7 linked regions of the Macaca mulatta genome follow. The protein of the gene in region 1 interacts with the protein of each later gene in a biochemical or structural test. Links are inferred from orthologs where the notes say so. Each region holds a gene or a part of one and is shown in the gene's direction. Other genes may lie near its edges. The genes, in order: SMAD3, TFE3, MECOM, ZFYVE9, TGFBR1, CEBPB and ERBIN.

Evidence for each region.
Region 2: the proteins of SMAD3 (region 1) and TFE3 form a complex in vitro, tested with the Homo sapiens proteins (2 studies listed by BioGRID). The link is inferred for Macaca mulatta from reciprocal best matches to the Homo sapiens genes SMAD3 and TFE3.
Region 3: the proteins of SMAD3 (region 1) and MECOM form a complex in vitro, tested with the Homo sapiens proteins (2 studies listed by BioGRID). The link is inferred for Macaca mulatta from reciprocal best matches to the Homo sapiens genes SMAD3 and MECOM.
Region 4: the proteins of SMAD3 (region 1) and ZFYVE9 form a complex in vitro, tested with the Homo sapiens proteins (2 studies listed by BioGRID and IntAct, with this or other methods). The link is inferred for Macaca mulatta from reciprocal best matches to the Homo sapiens genes SMAD3 and ZFYVE9.
Region 5: the proteins of SMAD3 (region 1) and TGFBR1 form a complex in vitro, tested with the Homo sapiens proteins (2 studies listed by BioGRID, with this or other methods). The link is inferred for Macaca mulatta from reciprocal best matches to the Homo sapiens genes SMAD3 and TGFBR1.
Region 6: the proteins of SMAD3 (region 1) and CEBPB form a complex in vitro, tested with the Homo sapiens proteins (2 studies listed by BioGRID and IntAct). The link is inferred for Macaca mulatta from reciprocal best matches to the Homo sapiens genes SMAD3 and CEBPB.
Region 7: the proteins of SMAD3 (region 1) and ERBIN form a complex in vitro, tested with the Homo sapiens proteins (2 studies listed by BioGRID). The link is inferred for Macaca mulatta from reciprocal best matches to the Homo sapiens genes SMAD3 and ERBIN.

Annotation. Positions count from the first base shown.
Region 1 is NC_133412.1:44,704,587-44,708,086, forward strand, and holds part of SMAD3 (mothers against decapentaplegic homolog 3), read left to right. Parts: intron 1-1,931; coding exon 1,932-2,144; intron 2,145-3,500. UniProt on the Homo sapiens protein: Receptor-regulated SMAD (R-SMAD) that is an intracellular signal transducer and transcriptional modulator activated by TGF-beta (transforming growth factor) and activin type 1 receptor kinases.
Region 2 is NC_133426.1:49,118,436-49,122,418, reverse strand, and holds the start of TFE3 (transcription factor E3), read left to right. Parts: upstream 1-1,183; 5' UTR 1,184-1,478; coding exon 1,479-1,594; intron 1,595-3,983. UniProt on the Homo sapiens protein: Transcription factor that acts as a master regulator of lysosomal biogenesis and immune response.
Region 3 is NC_133407.1:80,795,392-80,798,891, reverse strand, and holds part of MECOM (histone-lysine N-methyltransferase MECOM), read left to right. Parts: intron 1-557; coding exon 558-702; intron 703-3,403; coding exon 3,404-3,500.
Region 4 is NC_133406.1:188,440,105-188,444,401, reverse strand, and holds the start of ZFYVE9 (zinc finger FYVE domain-containing protein 9), read left to right. Parts: upstream 1-1,497; 5' UTR 1,498-1,600; intron 1,601-4,297. UniProt on the Homo sapiens protein: Early endosomal protein that functions to recruit SMAD2/SMAD3 to intracellular membranes and to the TGF-beta receptor.
Region 5 is NC_133420.1:59,272,219-59,275,718, reverse strand, and holds part of TGFBR1 (TGF-beta receptor type-1), read left to right. Parts: intron 1-739; coding exon 740-982; intron 983-3,500. UniProt on the Homo sapiens protein: Transmembrane serine/threonine kinase forming with the TGF-beta type II serine/threonine kinase receptor, TGFBR2, the non-promiscuous receptor for the TGF-beta cytokines TGFB1, TGFB2 and TGFB3.
Region 6 is NC_133415.1:103,041,722-103,045,437, forward strand, and holds CEBPB (CCAAT/enhancer-binding protein beta), read left to right. Parts: upstream 1-1,375; 5' UTR 1,376-1,576; coding exon 1,577-2,611; 3' UTR 2,612-3,216; downstream 3,217-3,716. UniProt on the Homo sapiens protein: Important transcription factor regulating the expression of genes involved in immune and inflammatory responses. Also plays a significant role in adipogenesis, as well as in the gluconeogenic pathway, liver regeneration, and hematopoiesis.
Region 7 is NC_133411.1:74,026,755-74,031,043, forward strand, and holds the start of ERBIN (erbin), read left to right. Parts: upstream 1-1,489; 5' UTR 1,490-2,505; intron 2,506-4,289. UniProt on the Homo sapiens protein: Acts as an adapter for the receptor ERBB2, in epithelia. By binding the unphosphorylated 'Tyr-1248' of receptor ERBB2, it may contribute to stabilize this unphosphorylated state.

The DNA of each region.
Region 1 (3,500 bases):
GCCCTCTAGAATACATCTGGCAATATCCACAGCCTTCTTTTATTGCCACAATTTGAGAGGGTGGTATGGATGTATACTGCTAGCACCTAGTGGGCAGGGGTCAGAATGCTGGTAAACATCCTACAATCTACACACGCTCCCTCCCACCCACCTACCCAACAAAGAATTATCTGGCCCCAAATGTCAGTAGTGCTGAAGTTGAAAAACCTGACCTAGGGTGTCCTAACCCTCCAGCTGACTTCCTGGGCGTGTGTGGAGTGCAGGGGTGTTACTGGCCTGCCCCTTCTCTGTTCGTGGTAGCATTCTCCTTGCTTTTAGAAGGGATCATGTGCCTAGACCCCATAAGGGGATCAGGGACTCTTTGTCCTGCAGGCAACCAGACCCCTTCCTGTGGGCAGAACAGCTTCTGACTTTTCTCTCTTGGGCTTTACACACTTTCAGAAGGTCTAATGAGCGGGGGTGCCCCCGGTGGTTTCCCCCTCCTAGACGTTGCCTGGTATCCATTGAGCAGGGTTCTCAGGCCAGGGCGACGGCACGGGGAGCCTCTCCTGTTCCCCCCTCAACAGAGCCCTGCGCTGAGGGTTAAAGTGAGGGAAGAGAGATGTCAGCCTGGGCCCTGGGACCTCATGGTCGAGTTGGACAGTCAGGATGCTCACATAGAGGCACACCCTTAGTCACTGCGTGGCTCCAGGTATATTTAAGAGCCAGAGGGACTTCAGAGCCAGGCTGAAGCTTTGAGATGGAAGAGTGAGAATGAGCAGGGGACTCCCTGATTCTTCAGCAGATGGATGGGATTCAGGTAGGCATCAAGCAGAGCGTGGCAGGCCAAGGGCTCGTGCCCAGCAGTCAGTGCAGCACAGAGAAGCAGCTGCAAGTGGTTGGCCCAGGGCGCAGGGCAGTCCTGGTCCAGAGGCTGTGGCATCGGTGTGAGTGGGAATTCCGAGGGCCCGGCCAAGGGCTGAGAGTATGGACCTGGAGATGCTGCAGAGGCGTGCAGTAGGAGGGCACAGCGCCAGGGCCGCTGGGCTGGGGCAAGAGGAGGGCAAGGAGGCCCCAGGAAATGGAAGGCTGGGATCCATTTCCAGTGTAAGGAGAAGCTGCCATTTACTCTTCTGAGAAAGAGAACCAGCCCCTCGCAGGATGGCAGTTTTGCTTTGAGGAGCCCCATATGGAGACTACACAGACAACTGGGACAAATCCAGATTTTCTTTCAGATGGGTTTGTGTCCCAGCCACCCCAGCAGCCGGCATGTAGATAAGTGTGGAAAATGGTTTCTGTGATAAGAGGCAAGGCTCCAGGCTCAGTCTGCGGACGATCCTGGTGTGTCCACTGCGCTGACACGGGGCCCTATTGGGAGCCCACTCGGCTGCTGCAGGCTTGGAAGCTGCTGCTCCACAGGCTGGGAGTTTGCCCCCAGGGCTGTGCAGAGCCAAAACCTGAAAGCCCTTTTAGGGGCAGGGATTAATGGTGGTTACTGTAGGAACCTTGCAAGAGAGGCTGAGAGGTGACTGTGCGGGAGGTGTGGACTGCCCCACAGTGGACACACTGCAGTGGCTGTCCCAGGTTCATCCAGGTACTGGGTGGCCCCTGGTCCTCTTCAGGTTTGGCCCAGCCCCTGCTTGAAGACTCCTTCCATCCAGTCAAGGCCAAGCAGGCGGGGCAGGGCCTCTATGAGCTTAAAAAAAAAAAAAAGAAATCAATGGCCCTTTACACACACAGTGTGGCAAGGCTGACGGAATCTCCTCCGGACACCTGAGCATCTTGTTCTGGTGGGTGCTGCCAGTTTTATACGATAAAAGGCACCAGGTGGGGAGACTATTAATCCCTCTGAAATGTGGGGAAATGGTTCTCCAGAGCGTCCATGGGACCCCATCGAGGCAGCATGGGGCTTGGGGCACCCACTGACCCAGTAGCCCGCCCTGTGTCCACAGACCTGCAGCCAGTTACCTACTGCGAGCCGGCCTTCTGGTGCTCCATCTCCTACTACGAGCTGAACCAGCGTGTCGGGGAGACGTTCCACGCCTCGCAGCCATCCATGACTGTGGACGGCTTCACCGACCCCTCCAATTCGGAGCGCTTCTGCCTCGGGCTGCTCTCCAACGTCAACAGGAATGCAGCAGTGGAGCTGACGCGGAGACACATCGGTATGGGGTGGCTCCATTCCCCGCCCCCACCCTGCCCCTGCCACTCTATCGCGCCCCCAGCCCCAGGCCCGAACACACAGCCTCTGCAGGGAACCTTGCCTCCATCCTTAGCTGTGCTCTGCCTCCTGCTGGGCATGGGGGAAGACTCACCGCCCCAGCAAGGCCCCCACATTCCCTGTTGCCCTGTTTAGGGGCCAGACAGGTAGTGTTCAGGCCACTTAATCATTCCCACTCAAAGATATAATCTCAGAAAACCTGGAAGCCACAGAGGAAAATACTTAAGGGATCGAGAAGGGAATGTCTATGAGAAAGGCAACATATGAAATCTTTTTTTTTTTTTTGAGACAGAGTTTCACTCTATCCAGGCTGGAGTGCAATGGCACAATCTCAGCTCACTGCAACCTCTGCCTCCCGGGTTCAAGCGATTCTCCTGCCTCAGCCTCTCAAGTAGCTGGGATTGCAGGCACCCAACCACCACGCCCGGCTAATTTTTATATTTTTAGTAGAGATGGGGTTTCTCCATGTTGGTCAGGCTGGTCTCCAACTCTTGACCTCAGGTGATCCACCCGCCTCGGCCTCCCAAAGTGCTGGGATTAGAGGCGTGAGCCACCAAGCCCGGCTGAAATCCTGTTAATAAAAAGAGTTTGAAAGTGCAGATGGATAGGTTGATAAGTAGGCAGTCGTCGTTGGAAGAGTGATCTTTTCTTATTTTTATGTATCATTATTCTAGACAATTTAGAAAAGGTAGAAAAGAATTGTCCACTATCCAAACACCACTACTGTGAACCTTCTGCCTTCGAGCCCGCAGAACATAAGTAAAAGATGACTCTGTGAGTTTAAGGAAGATGAAGCTGTGTTACGTATCGCTTGGTTTGCTTATGAAGTTATCATGCTTAGAGGATTTTACCATCCAGAACACAACTGTGAGAACTTAGAAGGGCTGTGGAGAGATGGCAGAGTGACGTTTTCTCAGACCTCGTCCTGGAGCCCCAAGGGTTGGCGAAGGGTTCCTGGGGCAAATTCAGGAGCTGGGCAGGTTAGCAAAGGGAAGCCTGGCCCCACGTGAACCAGGGCACCTCTGCATTCGCTTGCTTTATATCTCGGGCTCTCACAGAAGCCTTCGTTTGAAGAGAGGATTGATTCTGTAGTGAAGAGAAGAAAAGTTTGGAGGCCACAGGCCTAGGTCTGTGCTGTCATTTTCTAGGAGAGGGGCCTGATGTCTAGGGGTGGGGAAGGGTAGGGAATGGCTCTCAGAGACCTCATTGTCAGTGACAGACAGCCCCCACTACCAGACCCGTTCTCCCCATTTTGCTTTTTGTCTTTTACTTCAAAAAAGATACTTATTCTGGGTGGCAT
Region 2 (3,983 bases), on another chromosome or scaffold:
CCTCTGGAAGGAGACTGTATTTACCAAGTCTCCCTATCAGGAATTCACTGACCACCTTGTCAAGACCCACACCAGAGTCTCCGTGCAGCGGACCCAGGCTCCAGCTGTGGCTACAACATAGGGTTTTTATACAAGAAAAATAAAGTGAATTAAGCCTGGAAAAAAAAAAAAAAGAAAGAAAGAGGAAGGGAAGGCTGTGGGTCTGGGTGTTTTGTGAGCTATGTGCACCTGAGGATATGGGTGAGACCCTCCGCCGTGTGCAAGCCGGATTGCATGCGTCTGGCATACAGAAGCGCTCAGTGAATGTTGAATAAGTGAACAAATGAGTGAATCAACTAATTTTGGGAAACTTCTTGTATGCCAAACAACCTGCTAGCACCTTTCATACCGTAGAACAACCCTGCCAGAAAGGTATTTTGACTCCCATTTAACAGGCCAGGAAAGCTGAGGCTGGGAGAGGGAAGGTCCCCTTCCCTGTTCAAACCTGGATCTTTGTGATTCCAGAAGTCGTCATTCACCGAAGGGACCAGATTCATCCACCCGTCAAGAATTTATTAAGCACATGTTGCGCAGCGCAACGAACATAGTACAACAACCGCTCTCGATGGCATGGAACAGGCAGAGTACTCCCGGAAGACCAGCTGGGCGGTTGGACTGAGGATACCGAAAGGGCCGGGTTTCTGGTCCGCATCTCCAGGGAATGTAGCTGCCTCTGCCTCATAGTTATGGCTTTGGCTGAGAGAGCACAGCTAGATCGAGGTTGGAGCGCGGTCTAGGGCTCAGATATTACAAATATTGGCCGAGAGAGGGCGCAGTTCCGCAACTAAAAGTTGGCCAGGAGCCCCTCCGTGCGCCGACTGGCCATCGATGCGCAGGCGCAGAGGACCCAAGGAGCGGCTTAATAATATTATCTTGCAGAGGGATAATTTGAGAAGAGGGGGCGTGGCTCCGAAACCGACGCAAACATAGAGGCGTGGCTCAACCAAATCACCCCTCGCCTATTTGTCGCTGCCCCTGAGGGCGTGGTCTGGGTGCCTCTTCTCGGAAGGAGGGCGGGCCGAATCGCGTTTTTCCTTCGCGTCGGAGGCGTCGCTTAGGGCGGGCCCTCAAATCGCCGTTCCGCGATTGGCCGCCTGGCTAATGGGTCGTGGCCAGACGGGCAGTCCATCCCCAGTGCGGTCACTTCCTGTGGAGTTTCCCCATCCCTGGGAGGAGGGAGGAGGGAGGAGGGGGAAGAAGACGAGGGGAGGAGGGCGGTCGTCCGGGGTTAGGTTGGGGGGGGCGTCGGTCCCTTCTGGGCGGGGGATGACTCACGGCCCATCCCATCTCCCCGACGCCGCCCGCCCGCGCAGTGCTAGCTCCATGGCTTAGCGGAGGAGGAGGCGGTGGCGAGCTGGGGGGAGGGGGACTCTTATTTTGTTAGGGGGACCGGGCCGAGGCCCGACCGGCCTGGCAGGGCTCGCCCGGGGCCGGGCGTCATGTCTCATGCGGCCGAGCCACCTCGGGATGGCGTAGAGGCCAGCGCGGAGGGCCCTCGAGCCGTGTTCGTGCTGTTGGAGGAGCGCAGGCCGGCCGACTCGGCTCAGCTGCTCAGGTGCGGTGCCGCCTGGGGCCGGGAGTGCCGACTGGGGCTCCCAGGGGCCTGATCTGGGGGGCAGCGGGGGCCCCGGACTGGGATTGGAGGCCCTCGGCCTAGCCTTGGAGGACGTCGGGGCGCCCGTCTTGGGGGGGCACCTAAGGAATCCGGCAGTGGCCTGCTTGGATCGTGGCTTTATTAAAGGAGTCGTGGGAGTGCATTAAACGGGGTCTGGGTCAGGTTTGGGGAGCCCTTGACTGTGTCTAGAGGGGCCTATTCTGGAGTATCCAGAAACTGGTCTGAGATAGCTGAACTTGGCAGACTGGGACTCTGATTAGAGGCTGAATTCGGGGGTTTTCAGTTGGACATGAGGGGAATGAATTTGAGGGGACACTGTCAGGTGAGGCACTGGTTTTAAGGGAATCCTGGAATCTTTTTCCCTCAGTGTGGGAGAAGGGGTCCTGAGGGACACAAGTGCTGTCCTGGGAGCTTGGTGCCTCTCAGTGACTGGTTGCTGTGTTTGGGGATAACATGAATCTGGAGGGATTTGGAGGTATCTCAGATATGCTGCCTGGGACCAGCCTTGTGAGTGCGTGTGAATGAACAAGAGAAGCAACAACATTCAGCAAGACTTGGCCTGAATAATCCTTTCCCCCCTGCCCGCCCACCCAGCTGGGGCAGATCCCAAGGATAGTGGAAAAGCCCTCTTCCCACACCTGTTAAGGGCCTGAATGGGAGACAGACAGCCAGACAGAGGGCGATGATGTTTGTTACCTCTTAGCTCAGAGAAGGCCTCAGACCTTGTTTGGGAACCCAGAGGAGGCTCTTGTTCATGCTGCTACTCGTTCTAGCCTCTCAGCCCTTCCCACTACCTAGCCCCACACCCCTTTTCTTTTTATCTTCTTTTCGATCTCTGAGCTTCTGGGGGTAATCTGTCCATAGAGCTGGAACGAGTACAGATTGCACCATCCCTGCCTGGGTGGATCCCCTCTGGCCTCTTCTCATCCTTACTTTTATCAATGGGCTTTGGAGCCCCAGCCCTCCCTGATCACCCCAGTGCCCATCTCTTCCAACTTCTGTGCAATGGGTGTGTGAGCCTTGGTGGTGACGGGGCTCTTTGCCTCCTTTGTGCCTGGGATTGTGCTGAGCTCAGTGGCTCCCCCGAGCTTCCTCTTCCCCACTTCCTGGGTGGTTTTAGGGCTCCATCTGAGGGTGAGGAGAGGAAGGAAGACAGATCCTTGGGGAGGGGAGAGGATTCTTGTCAAGTGAAGTCACCAGCAATCTCTCAGCATTCTAAATGTTTGGCTAAATTGAAGGATGCATATTCATCCACGTGTGTGTTAACTGTCCCTTGCTCTCTGGGGCTGAGCAGAGCCTTTCTGTATATTGATTCACCATCTTCTAATTCCTCTGTAACAACCTAGATCATCGCAGTAGTGGACATAGTTAAAGGGAGGGGTGTATATGGCTTCTTATTTTGTATGCCAGTGGGTATTGGTGTTGGAGGTGTGTGTGTGTTTTGATCTATCCAAAAAAACAGAAGGCTGGGCAAGCTCCTCCGGCTAAGAAAAGAATGCTTGTATAAAGTGGATCAACCACCCAAATTCTCCCTCTTGTAAATCCAGTCTGTTGGAGTGAGGGGAGCCTTTGATATTTCTATTTTATATTTGGGCATGTGTTGGCATCCCATGAACTCTAACTGGGGCTGGGAGAAACTCATTTGTGAAATGGGTTTTCACAAATTTCACTTGACTTTATGTCAAGTGAATTATTCCCGGTTCTCTTTGTGATGCATTCAGTCTGTGTTACAAGGGACTGTTATGCTGAGGGGTGCCCCTACTTGCTCTGTGTGTGTGTGTGTGTGTACATACACATATACCTGGGCTCAAATTCAGCTGTAAAGAAAATATTAGGGGGTTGGCCGGGCGCAGTGGCTCACGCCTGTAATCCCAGCACTTTGGGAGGCCGAGGCAGGCGGATCATGAGGTCAGGAGATCGAGACCATCCTGGCCAACATGGTGGAACCCTGTCTCTACTAAAAATACAAAAATTAGCTGGAGGTGGTGATGTGTGCCTGTAATCCCAGCTACTCGGGAGGCTGAGGCACGAGAATCACTTGAACCCAAGGGGCAGAGGTTGCAGTGAGCCGAGATCACACCACTGTATTCCAGCCTGGCGACAGAGCAAGACTTTGTCTAAAAAAAAAAAAAAAAAAAAAGTAGGTGGGTATGGGGGCTGGGAGAACTCTGATAGGAAGTCAGGAATCCTTCTATAAAGTGAATTGTTATTCCTAAATTCTGTTTTCCTCAAACCTAGGTTGTTACAGTGTGGGGGCTGGGATGCAGGCGTTCTTATTATTCTGACTCTTAAGGGACTATGAGTAACACAGTGGGGAGGGGAAAGGAGG
Region 3 (3,500 bases), on another chromosome or scaffold:
TATTAGATTTTAGGTACAGAAGTATAATCCAATATGCAGAACTGACCACACTGTCTAACTGTGTGTACCCTTAGATCAGACAACTATAATTTTCTTATCAAAGTTATTTTAGGAAAAATAGTTAAACGTGTAACACGTCAACGTTAATACTTGTTGACCTCTTTTAGGTGAGAGGATGTTAGATTATAACCTCTTTTAGGTGAGGGGATGTTTTAACCTCTTGTTTTTGTCATATAGACTATTGTGATGAACTATTATACTATAGATACTTTGTAGACAAGATAAACAACAGGAAGCTAATGTTGGTGTAAAGCTCAACCACATACAAAGTGTTTATAGTTGATTAAGTTTATGTAAGCCTTACATCAATCCTGTGATACAGGTATTGTGAGTCTCGCGTTTCATGGCCAAGGAAGCTGAAGACCTCCTAAAGTTATTAATATTCATAGGGCATGTTTGAAGAAATAACACTGATCAAATTCATAAGGAGTGAGTTTCCAAATAAGTAGCTAGATAAACAATAATCTTTGTTATAAAAGGCTTTCTGCTCCACGCAGGTACAGCAACATCGTCGCCTCATTCTGAACTGGAAAGTACAGGTGCGATTCTGGATGACAAAGAAGATGCTTACTTCACAGAAATTCGAAATTTCATTGGGAACAGCAACCACAGCAGTCAGTCTCCCAGGAATGTGGAGGAGAGGTAAAGCTGTTTTTTACTCTTTAAACTCTGTGACGACTGAAATGAATATGTTTTAAAATATACTTTGTATGCTCACTTTTGTGGCACAACTATTACTTCAGTCACCAAAGACTGGTATATATTTAGTACATATTAAATACCACATGTGCTTCCAAGCATTTTACATGTATTAATTAATTTAATTTCATGATAACCCTGTGAGACAGCCACTGTAATTTTAGCAGTGAAGGAACGGAGACATTGAAGCTTAAACTGTTGTGTCAGAGGTCACATAAGTAGTCAATGGGATTCAACCTTAGCTGTCTGGTTCCAGAGCCCATAATTTTACCAGGATTTACCTAATTGATAGCTGAATAGAATCTGTTATCAAAATTTCAGAAGTAGAAGAAAAGGCCATCACAGGGATTCAGTTGAATCACTGATCAATACTGATTACTATTATACATTATAAATTTATATATATTACAGGTAATATATGATTCTCTCTATATATGTATTATACCTATATACGTATATGTATATTCTGTATATATGTAATATACATATTATAGTACATATGTATGTATGCATTTATATATGAAATACCCATGGAGTTTCCCCCAAATATATTTTACATAGAAACTTTTTTAGTCTTCTTAAGATTCTATTGCTACTTTATGTCCTCTTAAGTGACTACTCATTTAATTCTGGTCTGTTTATTTCAGTGGGTATGACCATCCTTGTTTTTACCGACCTGATGCACTGGCTCCTTTTGTCATCATCAACATTAAGCATGAATAGCTTAATTCATTTTAAAAAGCTTTTAATGCTGTTAATGATAATACTTAACAGTTACCCAGCACTTCACATTGCATATGAAGTTAATGAAACACAATTTCACCAAAACTACTGGATTTAATTTTTCTTATCTATAAGCTATATTAAATATCTGTTGTTGAGAAGTAGACTTTTCTGGACATAACTATATAGTGACCTATTAAATTAGGATGCTGCATTGTAAATTTTAAAAAAAACATGACATTAGTTGAAAGTTCCATTATTTTTCGTCATGCAAGTATTTTTGGGTTAGTGTCCTCTATTTTTGATGTTATTAAAAGTCAAACTTAATTATTTTATGTAATTTCTTCAAGGCAAGCATCAAATAAACATTTTTTACTAAAATAACCAAAAAAAGACCACTTCTGTTCTTCAACCTGTGTAAAAGTGTGTCTAAGAAAAACAAGAAAAAAGACCCTTCCAGTCTCTCAGAAATCTGATAACCACACCAGTGTGCAGTTGGATGTATCTTTCCCTTTACTCGCCCATTTGTGTGTGTGTTTCTGTCTGTCTGTCTGTCTGTAAAAGGGAGAGGGGAAGTAGGTGATCAGAAGGACAAAGTAGCAAGAACAAGCAAGAAACAGTAACAATCTTACACTTTGATAATGATATTTACTTGATGCAAGTAAGAACCGTTGAGCAAAACACACCATTTGGGTTCTGAGATGCCTATTCAAATTTTCTAGCCTTTAATTGGCGATTTGTGAACCTGTATAGCTGCAACATCTGGCTTCAACATGTCTAAACAGCACAGAAGTAAGAAGGTTGAGTCATCTAAGTTTTTCCCCTGAACTCCTGTCAGGCTACTTTTGATGAATAATTCATTCCCTGCAAATTGCCACATTTGAAAACTTAATTAACAAATAGATTTTCTTAATTATGTTGGCTTTTGTTACTTTTGATTTTCACCCATGTACTCTTTTGTTCTTTTATTTTTTTCTTTCATTTTTTTTTAAATAAAAATTTTAATCCACTCATGCAAGCAAGTTGGCAGTGTATTTGGAAACTAATTTATGTCTGTGTATAAATTTTCACCATTCTTTGATAAAAGAGGTTAAGAGATTATTTATATTAAAAACTTAATAATGATATGACTTTTTCTGGTCAAATGGATTCTTACTATCTGTTTTTGTCACATCCAAGATTGTTTTATTTATTTTTTAATGCTGAGAAATCTGAATATTAAATTATACTCATTTTTGTTATGTGGGAAAGTGATGGGGGTGAATTGTTGATACCTGAGCTTTTTCCACCCTGGTGTTTCCCTGAGAAACAAGGAACTATTTCACATTCAGACTGTAAAAAATAATTTGAAAATAGTACAAATAAGTGAGCTCTCAATTACTTCCAAATTTGGATAGAGTGGCTAAGTGGAATACAATATAAATGTCATCTAGTTGTTTCTTGGCAGCTACTTTAAGATTGTCTTTGGACTTTTAGATTCACTTTAGGCATATGTATTGAAGCTACTGCCCATGAGTGATATGAGTTTTCCAGGAATCTATTATTTTAAATGGCGGGTACTTATATGGTAATTAGGTAAATTGTGCTGAGAATGTATTTGTGTGCCTTTTTATATGATATATATAGAAATGTCAATTATCAAGCAAAGTCTGATAAGAAATAGGAGACCAAGATTGTTTCTTGGGTTCTGCCAGAGGCTTCATTTATAATCTGAACAATCATACAATTATTTTTTTCTTTATCTTCCCATTTGTGAGGTCACATTATTTTTTCATGGTTGACATAGAGCATAAACAATAAAAAATTTCCTGTGTAAGTGTTGGAAATCTAAACTGTTGTTGGGAAGACATAATAAAGAAACAAATTACGATTTTAAAAGTGAAACCAACAATTGGACTTTTTTTTTTAATGCTTTTGAAAGAATGAATGGCAGTCATTTTAAAGATGAAAAGGCTTTGGTGACCAGTCAAAATTCAGACTTACTGGATGATGAAGAAGTTGAAGATGAGGTGTTGTTA
Region 4 (4,297 bases), on another chromosome or scaffold:
CAAGCCTTGTTTTATTCACGTCCTCAATGGATTGGATCATGTCTGGTCACATTGGGGAGGGCAATCTGTTTTATTCAGTACACTGATTCAAATGCTAATCTCATCCAGAAACACCCTCACAGACATACCCAGAAATAGTATTTAATTTGAGTACCCCATGTCTCAGTCAAGTTGATATATAAAATTATCTGTTGTATTATTGGACTTGCCTCACAATATTGAAAAACTGTATATATGATTTGACCTTGAATCTATAGAGTTAATTTTGTTTAAGAAAATCTTTAATTAGCTAGATATTAGAGGGGTGGTTACTTTACTTTCTTTCTCATTTTGACCTTGGTTTGTATTTTTATACTTTCATACTTCTGATATGACTTAGTCCTTTATTTAATAGATATAAATCTGTTTCTTAGTGTCAGTAGCTCTTCTCATTTAGAGTATATCATAGCATGCATATTTTTCTAGTTCTCAAGACAGGGAAATCTTTTACCAGTGATTTTCATTCTTTATTCTTTATTGGGTCTTGGAAACTTGAATTTTAGGTCTTTTTCTTATTCTCTTATTTTTTATTAAGCACATCATTTTCACGTCTGATAATAGAATATTTGTAATGTCAGGAAATTTTTCTTGCTGCCTCAGTTTATCTTTAACACAGTTTATCTGTGTTCATTAAATTATCTCCAATATACTTACCTGTTCTGAAAATACTATGATTATGTGTTAGATATTTTATACTGATAATATAATATTCATAGTCTTAGTTTTATTCTGATTAGCTTCAACTACTAATCTTGTTCAAGGCTAAATTAGGCCCTTAAAGAATTTTACATTGTCTCTAAGCAGTTATAGTTGGGCTACCATAACTTAATGGATATTGTCATATTTTCACAAGAGGGTAGTAATATTTGAAGAGCCTTTGTCTTTTGCATACACCCCTGATAGGGAAGGTTAATATTGGGTTAATAGATCCATTGCTTCTAAGCAGTTGGAGGAGGACTGGAATGAAGAGACTCCATTTGGAGAAAAAAATAGTTTGGCAGTAAAAATCACAACAAGAAACTTGTGAAACTCAACTTAAGAATTCTGTATGTATTGAAAAAAAATCGCGCTAGAAGGACATTCTTGTGAAGCAGCAGTTTTCTTAGCTTTGGATTCTTGGAGGGCCCATTATAAGGCAAATTATATACTTATGAATTAACACAATTGAAGTCATTGGGTAGAAAGTGCCTGCTGTTGATGTTTCACTTTGCATTATCCATTGAAAATAAACGTGCAAAAACTCTTCTTTGTTGAAACATTTAACTTTTGGCCTTTTCAGACAATAAAATGTCTCTGTTGCTGCCTTGCATGCAAGCCAGGTCTTTGAATCCAAAGGTATAATTGTATTTACTGTTCAAGCCCCATTGCTTTTGTTTGTCTGGCTATGATAGATTTATATGAAGAAAATTAGGGTTTATTGTTTCATCAAGTGTAATGAGCAATGTGTTTTTCATTTAGGATCAAACAGAGCATACTGAATCAGCAGGACTGGCTGGTGGTGCAGCAAGCATGAGTAAGCACCGAGAAGTCTGTTCCTTATCACGTGTGTAAGGGGAAAAAGGTAAGAAAATGTTTTTATTTCTCTTAGAGATTGAACTTGAGAAACCAATGAGATCTATAGAAGATAATACTGATGCATATATGTTATTTGCTTCATTTGTAACATTGTATCTTATTAAATCAGGAGTATGATTTTCTTCAAAAAGATTTGACTTAAATTCAGAGGAAAAGGGTATTTAAAAATCACTGTTATTTTATGTCACAGTGGTCACAATGTTAATTTCCCTACCAGTGCTGGCTCCTTCGTTTTAGAGTTAGTTGAGTATAGAAAGGTAATTTCAGAAAAAAATATGACTTTGAGCAATATTTTAGCTCATGCAAGAGCTAAACAAGTAAAGCTGATTTGGGGATGGGGAATCAGAAATGTAAAGTTAATTACATTATTTTATTTTGTATTTTTAGATAAGTTATTATGTAGAGCAATAATTTCCAGCAGAAAATTGGAAGTATTCTTGTAGAGCAGGAACCCTTGACTTTTTCCTAACTAGGAGTCATGTTGTTTTTTTTCAAGTCTTAAGATTATTTAAGGGTGTGAACCCCCAGTATCTGTGTTGGAAACAAGTGCTTGGTGTAGCCAAAAGAAACCTGCACTTAAGACAGAAATTTTCTCAGCAAGGCACTTTTACTTCTGCAGAAGGGTGCTGTTCACTCCTGTTACAAATGCAGGAGCACACCGAACAAAGGAAGGAAGGAAGGGGCTTTTAACCCTAACACAGTTCCTGTTTCTGTGTCTTTCCCCTATTGACTGGAGTTGGACTGCATAATCTAAGCTGATCCTCACTGGCTAAGGCTTAAACTTTTCCAAATAAGGTAAATGTGTGATTTGTGAAGGGGCAGGGTGGGTAAAGAAGAAATGGTTAGGCTTAACAGAAGAGGGGGTAGGATTGTTTACAACTTATGACCAGGAAGTTGAGTCTTTGAAGAGGAACTCAGTTGTACCAACAATCTCCCCTCTTCTGTCTTATAGTTCTTCATCTTCAAGTTTCTTTAACAGGATCTGGCTATGTTGTTCTTCTTGATTATCTAGGTGCAAGAGCTTATCTGAGTACAGAGGGGGAGAGGTTGGGGAGGTTTTTGTGAGAGCTGCTTCTGTGAGCCTTTGGGTTAACCCACAAATACAGGGTATGATACAGCAACCCACAAGGATGAGTACACCTCTAACAATTGCAAGGAAGGTAAAGATTGAGGTCATGAGTCCTTTCCATTTTCCAGACCACCTTTCCATTAGTCCTGTAAAGGGGTCGTCTATTCCAGAGTTTTCGGCTAGTTCATTTGCTAGGATGGTAAGGCCTTGTAAGGCTTTTATGATTGTCCCGTCGGGGGCTGTATTATTAGGAATAAAATAAAACACTGGACCCTGATCATGACATAGACTTCACCTTTTTTGGCCAACACCATGTCAAGGGTTATTCTATTTTCCCAGGCCATCTGGCTGGTGGGGTCTAATTTCAGCAATTCCTTTTATGGCATCTCTGGTATAATTGATGAATTGCTGCTGATTGTAGTATATGTAATGTATCCAGTCTACATTTTTGTTTATAGTGGACTACCAGAATAATATAGACTCGAACCTGGTGGGTATTTGGTTTTGAGCTTTGAATTCATTTGGTACCCTCTGCAGGACCCCGATGCTGTCTATGTAAACTTGGGGGTCAAAGGACCCATTTATTGGGGCTTCTTTTTTTCTTCTGGTTACCTGCTTCCTGATGAAATGCCAAGGTGAAAGGGATGGCCAATTGGATCAGAGCACAAGTGCCACTCCAGTTGCTTGGCAGTGTTCCAAATATTGGTCCCCCTCTATACCACTATACATCCACTTGGGGATGGACTGGGGCTGACTGATTGGTTAGCTCTTGAAAAGGTTTAGGTCCACTGCATCCCATCAGGTTTCCAAGGAATGTCAAATTTTCCCCTTGTTGTAAGAGACACAAGGTAAAATTGGCATTGAGAGCAGGAAGTCGAATGTCCCTTGGGGGCTGTCCCATAGGGCTCCTGACTTTTGGGAAAAGTAGTGAAAGAGTGGCACATGACTTGTTTCCCCAGGCTGTGAGGTGCTGGAAGAGAGCTACCATACAGTCTTTGCCTGATGGGTTGGCCCATCTGAGTGGGAGGGGAACAATTTGGGTTTCTGGCCTGCCTGTTGCACAAGCGTAACAATCGGTTTTATTTAGGGTGTGAATGGAATATTTAATCCATTCCAGCTAGGCATTTACATCTTGATAACCGGTTTCTATGGCTAGGGTTTGCTGTAAATCCTTTACTTCTACTATAGCTACTTTGGTTTTGTCATTAGACATGAAGCGAGAAATGGTTTGATTTTTGTGGTTTTGGGAAGTGAGTAATGGAGGGAGATGGAGGAGGAGGAGCAAACCTCATTTCAAAGATGCCTGTAGGGTCTTTTGCAGTGACATCCGCTCCTAGGCCATAAAGGCGCTCTAAAGTGGGGATACGGTCGGTGGAGGTGGGGATAGGAATAGAGAGAAGTACTGGGTTGCACTGGTGGTTTTGGCAATTTGAGGGGGTGGTTCCTTTGGTGAAGTGGAGGTAGGGTTTTAGGGTGGTGCAACCCTCTAAGGAGGTCCAGCCCTGATATTTGGTGGTCAAGATAACATCTCCTCAACTATAACATAACCCCTTAAAGGCTTGTGGTCGTCGATTGCAAGGGTCCGGGGTGATACTGGTTTTTCTGCGGGTGGAG
Region 5 (3,500 bases), on another chromosome or scaffold:
AGTTCGAGACTAGCCTTGAGCAACATGGTGAAACCTGTCTCTACTAAGATACAAAAATTAACCAGGTATGGTGGCACATGCCTGTAATCCCAGCTACCTGAGAGGCTCAGGCAGGAGAACTGCTTGAACCCGGGAGGCGGAGGTTGCAGTGAGCCAACATCATACCACTATACTCCAACCTGGGCAACAAGAGTGAAACTCTGTCTCAAAAAAAAAAAAAAAAAAATTGGTGGAGATATAAATACTAAAATGTGAGTTGTTTGGGAGTGATGAAGATGTATGTGTGTGTTTGTTTGTTTGTTTTGATATTTTTGTTTGTTTTTCCTGCTATGAGCATGTACTGGCCTTGGAACAAGAAGACAAGTCAAACACACTTTTAAAAATATATATGATTTTTAAGGAGACGTTAATGGGTATTGTTACAAGTTATTGGTATTACTGACCTGATGTGATAAGTGGGGAAGGTACTATGATATTGGTAGCAGCTGGCCTTGTAATGATGGCTGAAGAGTACAGAAGGAGTAAGTGGGTGCTGACAGAGCTGGTGTGCATGAAAGGAGGCCTAGTAGGAGAAGACTGAATGATTCACTTGTTCTGGGTTTGAGCCCTATAAACTGCTGTAATGAGGCTCTTTGGCTATGTGGTGGCAGTGGCCAGCTGCAGCAATTGTGTAGGATTAGGAAAATGGGGGTTGCCACCTACAGTGTTTTTGTTGTTGTTGATGTTTATTTCACTCAAGGCCCTTTTTCAGTAAAGTCATCACCTGGCCTTGGTCCCGTGGAACTGGCAGCTGTCATTGCTGGACCAGTGTGCTTTGTCTGCATCTCACTCATGTTGATGGTGTATATCTGCCACAACCGCACTGTCATTCACCATCGAGTGCCAAATGAAGAGGACCCTTCATTAGATCGTCCTTTTATTTCAGAGGGTACTACGTTGAAAGACTTAATTTATGATATGACAACATCAGGTTCTGGCTCAGGTAATGTAATTGTTTCTCCTTTTTCCTAAGACGTCTTTTTAAAATTAAGTGATACTTATTTTATTAGTTTGCTAATAAGCCAACTTGTTAGAATGTGAGATAATATAAATAATATTCCAGGTTTGAAACTAATAAAAATCTTTAAGCTTGATGTGTATATGACTGTGGCTGGTTTAAAATAGATTGGAACTTACTTTAACTGATAAAGCAAGTCAGTCAGCTCCGGTGGTATAAATTTCAAAGCGTTCTCACTTGTATGATCTAATTTGCTTTTCATCACTGTGAGGTAGAAAGGATAAGAACAATTATTCTCATATGGATGAAACCGAAGTTCAAAGATGTTCAAATGATCTGCAACTAACCCGTTCTATTCAGGATTGTTTAGCAGCCTGATGTTTATATTTGAAAACAGGCATGATAAAAATTTATTCAGAATTGTGAAGGTTATTTGCTTTTTAAACATTATATGAAATTGTCTTTTGTATAGGCCTGGTTTTTTAAAATTAAACTAATGAACTCTTACGTCATTTTCTCACTTCAGAAAAATGTCTAATCACCTTCTTATTTAATGTAGTTTTGGCCCCTAATGAGATTTGCTTTTCCCAGTTCTATTTGTTGATATTTGTGGCATCAGAAGTAGATGAGCTAATTGTCAGAGTCATCCCAAGGTGGATTTTGGCATAGCAGTGCTTCATGTTTAAACTGAAGGGGCGTTATCTTCTACTTTTTTTTGTATATGGTTTGGAAAAGTATTAAGAGAGGAACACTCCTATCCCCTGTGTTTTTAGAATTTGACACTTGGCTAAGGATAAATAGATCTAGGTTCCAAGGCAAGTTTTGTTGCTGATTGGCTGTATAACCTTGGTTAAAACATGTTTCCTCTTTGGGCTTCTGTTTCCTCATCAAAAATATGGAACCCATACTGCTGATAAAAACACTTCAAGTGGTTTGTTAAGACTTTTAAATGAGATATACTATCCTTTGAAAAGTATGAGTCGTCTTTAAATAAGGGCTAAATTCATGAATAAAGTGAAAATTTGGAAAGCGTATATAGTGAAAATTTCACTAATTTTGGTGAAACCCCATCTCTACTAAGAATACAAAAAAATTAGCCGGGCATAGTGGCATGCGCCTGTAGTCCCAGCTACTCGGGAGGCTGAGGCAGGAGACTCGCCTGAACCTGGGAGGTGGAGGTTGCAATTAGCTGAGATCGTGCCACTGCACTCCAGCCTGGGCAATAGAGTGAGACTCCATCTCAAAAAAAAAATTCACTAATTTTATAACTGAGTGATATTAAAGGAATATTAAAGCAGAAATTGAGCATAAAATCACATCTAATGTTGCAGAAAGCTCATATAATGACAAATGTCTATTTATTTTAAGGAAATGAATATATATTGTTATGTATGCATATCTATTCATTTAAGAAACTGATTTTATTACCTGAATTATTCTTCTGTAGAATTTGGCCGTATGTATTCAATAAGAGAACTCTCTCTTTGACTACTAGGACACATACAGGCTTGCACTGGAGCTCAGATCAGAAGGCAAGCTTAGGGATTCCTGAAACAGTTGTGTAAGGAAGACAATGAGAGTTCGGACTTAGATGGAGCCATCTTAGTACTGAAGGTGTGATAGTCTTTGGGCAGGAGTGGTGGACGGAGGTTATTTTAGAGCTTTCCTGGGACTTCCCATTTATTCTCAGTTCAGATCTTCAAAAAGATTTTGTTCATTCTAGAAGTAATCCTGCTCAAGACTGTGATAATCAAGGACCAGAGTCACAGAAAATCAGGATGGCTTCAGATCATTTGGAATTAATGCCTCAGACCTGTTGTCTTGTTTCTAAACTTACACTCCGGAAAGAGAGCAGCTCATGCCACTTGCCACAGTGGAATAAGCCCACCTAATTGATTAAAGGAATTGGTGGGTGGGTGATAGTTGATTACTGAATAAGAATATCTTCATTAACCTTTTAAGAGATAAACATGAAAAAGAACAGAATAATTCTGTTTCCATTATATATATATATATATATATTTCTAGATCCATGAGGGACCATAGCTCTCTGTTCTCTGAAAGCTTCTCTCCCTCTTTTTATGACTTACCCTGCAAAAACTTGTCTGCATTGCTTGCTAGCTCTGTAGCTTTGGGCAGTTAACCAATGTCTCATGCTTGAGTTATTTCATCTTTAAAATGAAAGTGATGGAGTCTGCTTTGTGCACATCATTGGGTTGTTGTGAGTTCAAGCAAGACAAAATGTTGGCATGAAAGCGCTTGGTAAATTGTGAAGTTATGTCCAAATGACAAGTGTTGCTCTTATTGAAAACATACTTGGAAGAAAAATCTAACATACATTATCAGTTGACTACATTGTACAAAACTTAGTTTAAGGCCTCCTTTACCTGTCATAGTTCATTGTGTACTGAATTCTCTACAAACCTATCTAGGCAGAAGCCATCTTCTGGTGAATAATAGCAGAAAATGCCATCTGTTTCCCTTCTATTCATTATAAATCCTT
Region 6 (3,716 bases), on another chromosome or scaffold:
AGGGCAAAGCAAAGGGCCCTCTAACCTGAGCCTAGGGAGCAGAGGCGGGCCGGTAGTTAGAGGGCCTTGGGTCTGTGTTCAAGTCCAGGCAGGCCGTTGTCACTTTCCCATCTGTGAAACGGCAGCAGCAAAAGCATCTTCCTGGTGGGGTGAAAAAGAACCTCGGGGTCCAGGCCCACCCTGAGCACAGGGCAGGGACTTGGTAAAAACTTCTCTTTCTCTTTCCTTCTCTGTTTCCTGCATGCCACCCCCCTCCCGTGAGGCCTGGCTTAAGCCCCTCCCCAGCAGCTTCAGAAACAGAAGCTTTTTGGCCTCTGGGGCTGGCAATAGGTCTTAGGGCCCAGATGAGGGCATTTCGTTTGGGATGAATGGGGGACATGCGGCCATGTGACCTTGGTATGCCATGCCATGCTCCCTCTGGGCCTCCACTGGCACAATCCATGGGGGTCCCTTTCTCTCTGATGTGCAGCCCACAACGTAAGCCTTAGGTTTGGGAGTCTGGTGGGAGCAATGCCACCACCGCTGACAGTAGCGACACCCTTCATGGACTGCAGCTGGGAGAAGTGACTCATCCAAGGTCGCACAGTGTGGCAGGGCCCAGGTCGGATGGCGCGGCGCGGGGCAAGAGAAGACCCGGGTGTGTACAAGCCGCAAGCAGGCGGCAGGTGCGGTGGGCGGGGCTAGGGGCGGGACACCGTGGACCAGGGTCCAGCCCCCAGCGCAGCGCGATCCTGCTCCGTCCCCCCGACCCCCGGGGTCCTCATATTGGCGGTGGCTTAAGAGGGGAATCGTCACAGGCGTGGAGTCTACTCCTTTCTAGAGCCGGGGACCTGTGGAAGAGGTGGGAGTTTAGGGGGAAGGGCTACGGAGATGGGTCGCTTCTCCTGGAGCTAGAGTTGCGGGCTGGGGTCTCCAGGGTTCCGCCCGGGGAGCGGCCCCTGGTCCGCCGTCGGGGCTCTGCTCGGTCCTCCTGAAACCTCCGCCTCCTCCAGCAGGGGGCGGGCCGGGGCCGCATCTCCGGGGGAAGGCGATCAGGTCGCCCCCTCCTCCGATTCCCCCGCCTTCCAGGACAGCCTCCAGCCCAGAGGGGCGGTCTGGGGGCGGGGTCGCACCGCCCCCTCTCGCTCCCAATCCCGGGGCGGCCGGGCGGGGGTGGGCAGGGGGCGTGAGGCCGCCCCCTGCGGCCCGGGGACCCCCCCCGAAAACGCGCTCCGGGTGCCCGGTCCCTCCGCTGCGCCCTGCCGCCGTCCTCCTGGGGGTCTCGGGCGGCCGCGGCCGTGTCCTTCGCGTCCCGGCGGCGCGGCGGGAGGGGCCGGTGTGACGCAGCGGTTGCTACGGGCCGCCCTTATAAATAACCGGGCTCAGGAGAAACTTTAGCGAGTCAGAGCCGCGCACGGGACTGGGAAGGGGACCCACCCGAGGGTTCAGCCACCAGCCCCCGCACTAATAGCGGCCACCCCGGCAGCGGCGGCAGCAGCAGCGACGCAGCGGCGACAGCTCAGAGCAGGGAGGCCGCGCCACCTGCGGGCCGGCCGGAGCGGGCAGCCCCAGGCCCCCTCCCCGGGCACCCGCGTTCATGCAACGCCTGGTGGCCTGGGACCCAGCATGTCTCCCCCTGCCGCCGCCGCCTGCCTTTAAATCCATGGAAGTGGCCAACTTCTACTACGAGGCGGACTGCTTGGCTGCTGCGTACGGCGGCAAGGCGGCCCCCGCGGCGCCCCCCGCGGCCAGACCCGGGCCGCGCCCCCCAGCCGGCGAGCTGGGCAGCATCGGCGACCACGAGCGCGCCATCGACTTCAGCCCGTACCTGGAGCCGCTGGGCGCGCCGCAGGCCCCGGCGCCCGCCACGGCCACGGACACCTTCGAGGCGGCTCCGCCCGCGCCCGCCCCCGCGCCCGCCTCCTCCGGGCAGCACCACGACTTCCTCTCCGACCTCTTCTCCGACGACTACGGGGGCAAGAACTGCAAGAAGCCGGCCGAGTACGGCTACGTGAGCCTGGGGCGCCTGGGGGCCGCCAAGGGCGCGCTGCACCCCGGCTGCTTCGCGCCCCTGCACCCGCCACCCCCGCCGCCGCCGCCGCCCGCCGAGCTCAAGGCGGAGCCGGGCTTCGAGCCCGCGGACTGCAAGCGGAAGGAGGAGGCCGGGGCGCCGGGCGGCGGCGCAGGCATGGCGGCGGGCTTCCCGTACGCGCTGCGCGCTTACCTCGGCTACCAGGCGGTGCCGAGCGGCAGCAGCGGGAGCCTCTCCACGTCCTCGTCGTCCAGCCCGCCCGGCACGCCGAGCCCCGCCGACGCCAAGGCGCCCCCGGCCGCCTGCTACGCGGGGGCCGCGCCGCCGCCCTCGCAGGTCAAGAGCAAGGCCAAGAAGACAGTGGACAAGCACAGCGACGAGTACAAGATCCGGCGCGAGCGCAACAACATCGCCGTGCGCAAGAGCCGCGACAAGGCCAAGATGCGCAACCTGGAGACGCAGCACAAGGTCCTGGAGCTCACGGCCGAGAACGAGCGGCTGCAGAAGAAGGTGGAGCAGCTGTCGCGCGAGCTCAGCACCCTGCGGAACTTGTTCAAGCAGCTGCCCGAGCCCCTGCTCGCCTCCTCCGGCCACTGCTAGCGCGGCCCCCGCGCGCGTCCCCCTGCCGGCCGGGGCCGAGACTCCGGGAAGCGCCCGCGCCCGCGCCCCCGCCTCCGCCCCCGGCGGCGCCGGCAAAACTTTGGCACTGGGGCACTTGGCAGCGCGGGGAGCCCGTCGGTAATTTTAATATTTTATTATATATATATATCTATATTTTTGTCCAAACCAACCGCACATGCAGATGGGGCGCCCGCCCGTGGTGTTATTTAAAGAAGAAACGTCTATGTGTACAGATGAATGATAAACTCTCTGCCTCTCCCTCTGCCCCTCTCCAGGCGCCGGCGGGCGGGCCGGTTTCGAAGTTGATGCAATCGGTTTAAACATGGCTGAACGCGTGTGTACACGGGACTGACGCAACCCACGTGTAACTGTCAGCCGGGCCCTGAGTAATCGCTTAAAGATGTTCCTACGGGCTTGTTGCTGTTGATGTTTTGTTTTGTTTTGTTTTTTGGTCTTTTTTTTTGTATTATAAAAAATAATCTATTTCTATGAGAAAAGAGGCGTCTGTATATTTTGGGAATCTTCCGTTTCAAGCATTAAGTAAGAACACTTTTAATAAACTTTTTTTTGAGAATGGTTACAAAGCCTTTTGGGGGCAGTAATTGGCTTTTGTTTTTTTTTGCTTTATTTTGGATTTGTAGGATTTTGTTTTTGCGTTTCTGGTGTGTAGTGGGTTGTGTGTGGGGGGCTGCTGTTATTTTTGGAGGTTTTGGTGGTTGGTGGGGGTGTTGCAGCTGGTTTTTCTGCCTCCTCTGCTACACCCTCCCCCCACCCACAGGGTCTGCTTGGAGATGGGGTTCCAGCCCTGGGGGAAAGGGGAGAAGAGTAATGGGTCAGGCTTTCAGGCTAACTCAGAGCTCCTGGGCGCCGGGACCGGTGGCTGGGAACCCTGCTTGAGAAGAGATTCCGGGACCTCTGACTGGTCCCGAGTGTCAGGCTTGGGTTTGGAAGGGCTGGGAGGTCTGTGACCCCTGCCCTGTGTTTGGGGACTAGATAGGCAGGCCTGTGACTGTAGGAGGAGGGGTTCAGGTCTTGGTCCTGCTGAGCCCGAGTCAGGGCAGATGCTTTTAGTAAGTGTAGTTGG
Region 7 (4,289 bases), on another chromosome or scaffold:
TTTTCACATAAAATAGATATCCAGCTTGGTAACACTGGCATAGCTACTGTCATTTCCTAGCTTCCAGCGAATACTCTTACCTCTAATTCAGCACTGAATATATCTGAACACTTCAGTACTACCTGTAAATCTTCAACTTCTGCTCTATGCTAAATAACCTAATACCTGTATTAATTCCAGCAGTTCTTCAAGTAGTTAAAAATGCTCCCAATCTGAATAAAATAACTTGAATATCTTCGGCGTTATTTCAAGTGTTTGTATCTAACGTCAACTCATTTTGATAAATAATTACTTGGTGGAATTTACGAACTCTTTCCATTGGCAAGCCAAAAAAAAAAAAAAAAAAAAGTCTGTAGGGGATATAGCTCTTTATTCAAACTTGGTAATAAATAATTATCTCTGGAATACAGACGGAAGAACTGAACCAGAGACTTCAGGGACCCACAGGCTAATTATCATCACTGTACACAGTTAAGTACAGCAGAGAATGGGGGTGGCGAATGGTTTGCTCCGCAATACGCTCCTTCTCTGGGTAAAACAAGGCCGTCTTTTCTGTGAACATATTTAAAGCAAGAACTGCAAAAACTGTACAATGTTATGGTTGAGGCTTTCTATTTGCCATATGTGTTGACAGAATGCTTAAGAGTCTCTCTCCGCAATAAACGCAAACCCTGCCAGGCTGAATTATTAGGGCCAGTGCAATTCAACGACTGCACCACCACCCAACCGCTGGGGTTGGAAGCCTGCGTCGCATCGGAGCGTACCCATGTTTCCTCTAACAAAGGCACGATCTTGAGGCCATTTCGCGGGCCCTTTTTCCCCTCTCAGCGCCAGCTTTGTCTCCCCGCCGGTGTCAGGCTGGGACTTGGAGGAGGCTGAGCTGCGCCGTTGGGGAACAAGCTCGAAGGGCGGGCGTGGGAAGCTGCGCCGCGCTGCCGCTGTGGTTTCCTGCGACCTGAGCGTGCCATTAGAGGAAGGTGGAGTGCTGCAGCTGCAAGATACCTGCTGCCTTCAAATCAGGGCTGGACTCCAACAACCCCTGTGCACCGATTACTGTCGTACAAAGAAACTCCATCGGCCGGGGCGGCGGAGGCCTGTGGGCTATCTCCCTGGCTGGGCGCGGGGCCGCTAGCAGACAGCAGGGTCGGCGTCGCCAGCGTTCCCCACCTTGGGGGGCTCAGAAGTGGGGGAGTGCGGGGTCGGGGAGCGGGCGGGAGACAGGCCTCGGGTAGCCTGGGCCGGAGCGGGCCTCACGGCTCGCCTTTCACGGGAACCCACGGCCGCCGGCTGCCCCTCCCACAGCCCCCGGCCCACCGCCCCCCGCCGCCGACGTCGGCCCGCACCGCCCCCGCGCGCTGACTGGCCCGCGCCGGCCTCCTGCCCGGCTGTTGGCGGTTGGGGCGAAGCCGGCGGGAGACCGCCCCGCCCCCGCCCCCGCCGCGGAGCCGCGGCGCGCAGCCTCTTCACCCGTCGCGGCCGGGGCGGTGGCGCTGTTGCCGCCGCGGCTTGTGAGGCAGTAACTCCCCTCCGCCCCTGCCCCATTCCTCCTCCTTTCTCTCCGCTCCCTCCATCCTCCCTCCCCTCGCGGTCTCTCGCCCGAGTGAATGTGGCGCGGCGGCGCGGGACGCAGCCTCGGCCCCTGCCGCGGCCCCGCAAGCTCGTGAGAAGACAGAGCTGCCGCCTGCTCCCGCCCCCTGCGCGTCTCGGGGAGCCACCGCCGCTGGGGAAGGAGAACGAGCAGGGCAGCGGAGGGACGGCGGCGGGAAAACGGGAGAGGGAGAAGAGGGTTCGAGGGCGAGTAGGGAAAGCGGGGAGGGACGGACGGAAGGACGGACGGCCCGACGGACGGCCCGGGCAGGGGGCCGCCATTGAGCCTGCCCGACTCCTCGGCTCCGGCTCCGGGTGGCGGCGGCAGCGGCGTCGCGGACGAAGGGCGCGGCAAGCTCTATCGAGACAATAACCCTGCCGCCCGGCTCTGGGGGCGGCAGAGAGGAAGCGGTGGCGGCCTAGCGCAGCCGAGGCTCGCCGAGCGCCCGGGCAGTGTCCTCGCCCCCGCCGGCCGGGTGCCGTTGCCGTCCGGTGTGCGGGGCGCGCCGGTTGCCCGGAGCCCGAGGCTCCCGGCGGCTGTCCCTTCCCCTCCCCCTCCCCGGTGCGCGTTGAGCTGGTTTTCCGGGTTCCCCTGGACGGAGCTGGATTCTGCTTCTCGCCAAGGCAGGAAGTGAGTTTCGCACTGCAATTCCGGGCAGTGTCACGAGTGAAAAGTTTTTTTTTTTTTCGGCGGAGATCCTAGTTGGGGCTGGGAAACTCCTGCAAAACTAGAGACCAGGAAGCCAGCCCGCACCCCAACCCCCACCAAAGCCACCTACTCTTCTGCGGGAGGCCAGTCCACATCCGCTCTCACCCGAGAGAGAAATTCAGCTGGATCCAAAGTGACTAATGAAGGCAAGGAAATCATGTCAAGCGAAGCCTTGAAAAAGCTGCCCTGAGACGCTGTCGCGCCGAAAGGTAATTTTCACGAAAAGTGTCTCTGAGTCACAAAGTTCATGGGACTTTGTGACTTGGAAAAGAGATGATCTTTTAGTGTTTTTCACTTTTCTCCAAGTTACCCTAAATCTTCCTCTCTTCATATCGAAGCGGATAATAATTGAGAGGCTAAATAATCGAACTGCAACCCCCCTGTCTCCCCTCTCCCCCCTCCCCGCCCCACCATCTGGACTTTGGATTTTTTGGAAGAGGTTGTAAGAATGCGGTGGGACAAAAAGTTTTCAGCAATCCGAAGAAGGAGTGCCTTTGTTCCCAGGGGCCAGAAGTTTTGGCTTTCTGGAACGTATAGAGTGTATATTAAGTTGCTCAGCCTGGTACCTTCTGTTTGAGAAGAAAGTTTGGTCGCTGCAGCGAGTGATTTGCTGTTATTGAGATGGCTGCCGCGTTTGTTTATACTCCTACCGATTATATTGGCGCTTGCGTTAATCGTATATAGAGGTTTTTATTGTTTTATTTCCAACTATGATCAGTATATTTAGTTAGATTTTAGAAACCAAAAAATCTTGCCATTCTTAGTTGTTTTTCAGGGTAATATATTTCTTTAGTTGTGTGTAATTGTTTTTTTTCAGACGTTTAGCGCTGTATAACTTGTTTAATTGAAAGCAAGTATCGACTAGACTTTTCTTGTAACTGATCCATTACGAAGAAAAAAGGAGTAAGGACTAATAATAAAGAGAGAGACATAATTAAACAATAATAACAACAACCTGTAAGACGTTTGATAGGACTTCTGTGCAGTTCAGAACAGACTATATGGGAAGGGAAGTAAAACGCTTGAAACGATTTTCAAGGGAATCACAGTGATTGTGATAAAAAGCTATGCTTTTTGAGTAGTATGGTATTTACATTTTTGTGTTGGCCCAAATGTTTTTGGTCGGTTCTGCATAAATAGTGGTAGGTTCTGCCTACATCTGTGGGGACAGGATTCATGAAGCATGGCAGACATTCCACCAGTCAGAGCTATGAACACTTCTGAACCAATGGGGACTAGTTTTGATAGCAGCAAACCCAAAGCTTTTTTCAGTGGTGTTTTAGTCTTTTTCTGTTTAGCTTTTTGGTGCAGGGAGGTGAAATACAATACTGTAGTTCTGAATATATATTGAATAAATTTGGTAACCTGTTGGTAGGTATATCCTGAATATATATTGATGTTTAGATCGCCTGTACTGTCTCACGTAATGACCGGAAACCCGAAGAGAGAGTTGATTTTCTTTAGTTCAAAGAGAAAAAATAGGTTTTAAAGATCAGGATCAAATTATTTCACAATTTGTTCTTTGCTACTTCAGCTTCATTAAGTACATCTCCAAAGGCAGTCTTTTATTTATTACAGTAGTTTTGATTTTTTTTTTTCCTCCCCAGGGCATGGTCTCAGGAGATTTTTTTTTTCATTGTTGTTAAGATTTATGAACCATCGAGTAATTCCTGTTAAGTCAAACTAGCTTTATCAAAGAATTTAAAGTGCATAACTCGTATACTTTATGATTTTGGAACGTATCATTAGGCTGCAAAAGAGTTTATTCTTGGGCATCTGAAAGAACTGAACAAAATAAATGGCATTGAACTTCAGTTTCCTAATATGGCTTATACTTGGCTTTAAAAGCAACAAAACCTTAATAGAGCAAGTCCTTTATAGAGAATTATCGCTTTATGAAGATGGTTATTTATTAGTAAATTTTGTATAAAAACAGTATTGTAGCACTTGAAAATGACTTTAAACCTCTAATTTTAGATTTAGTCCTTGATTT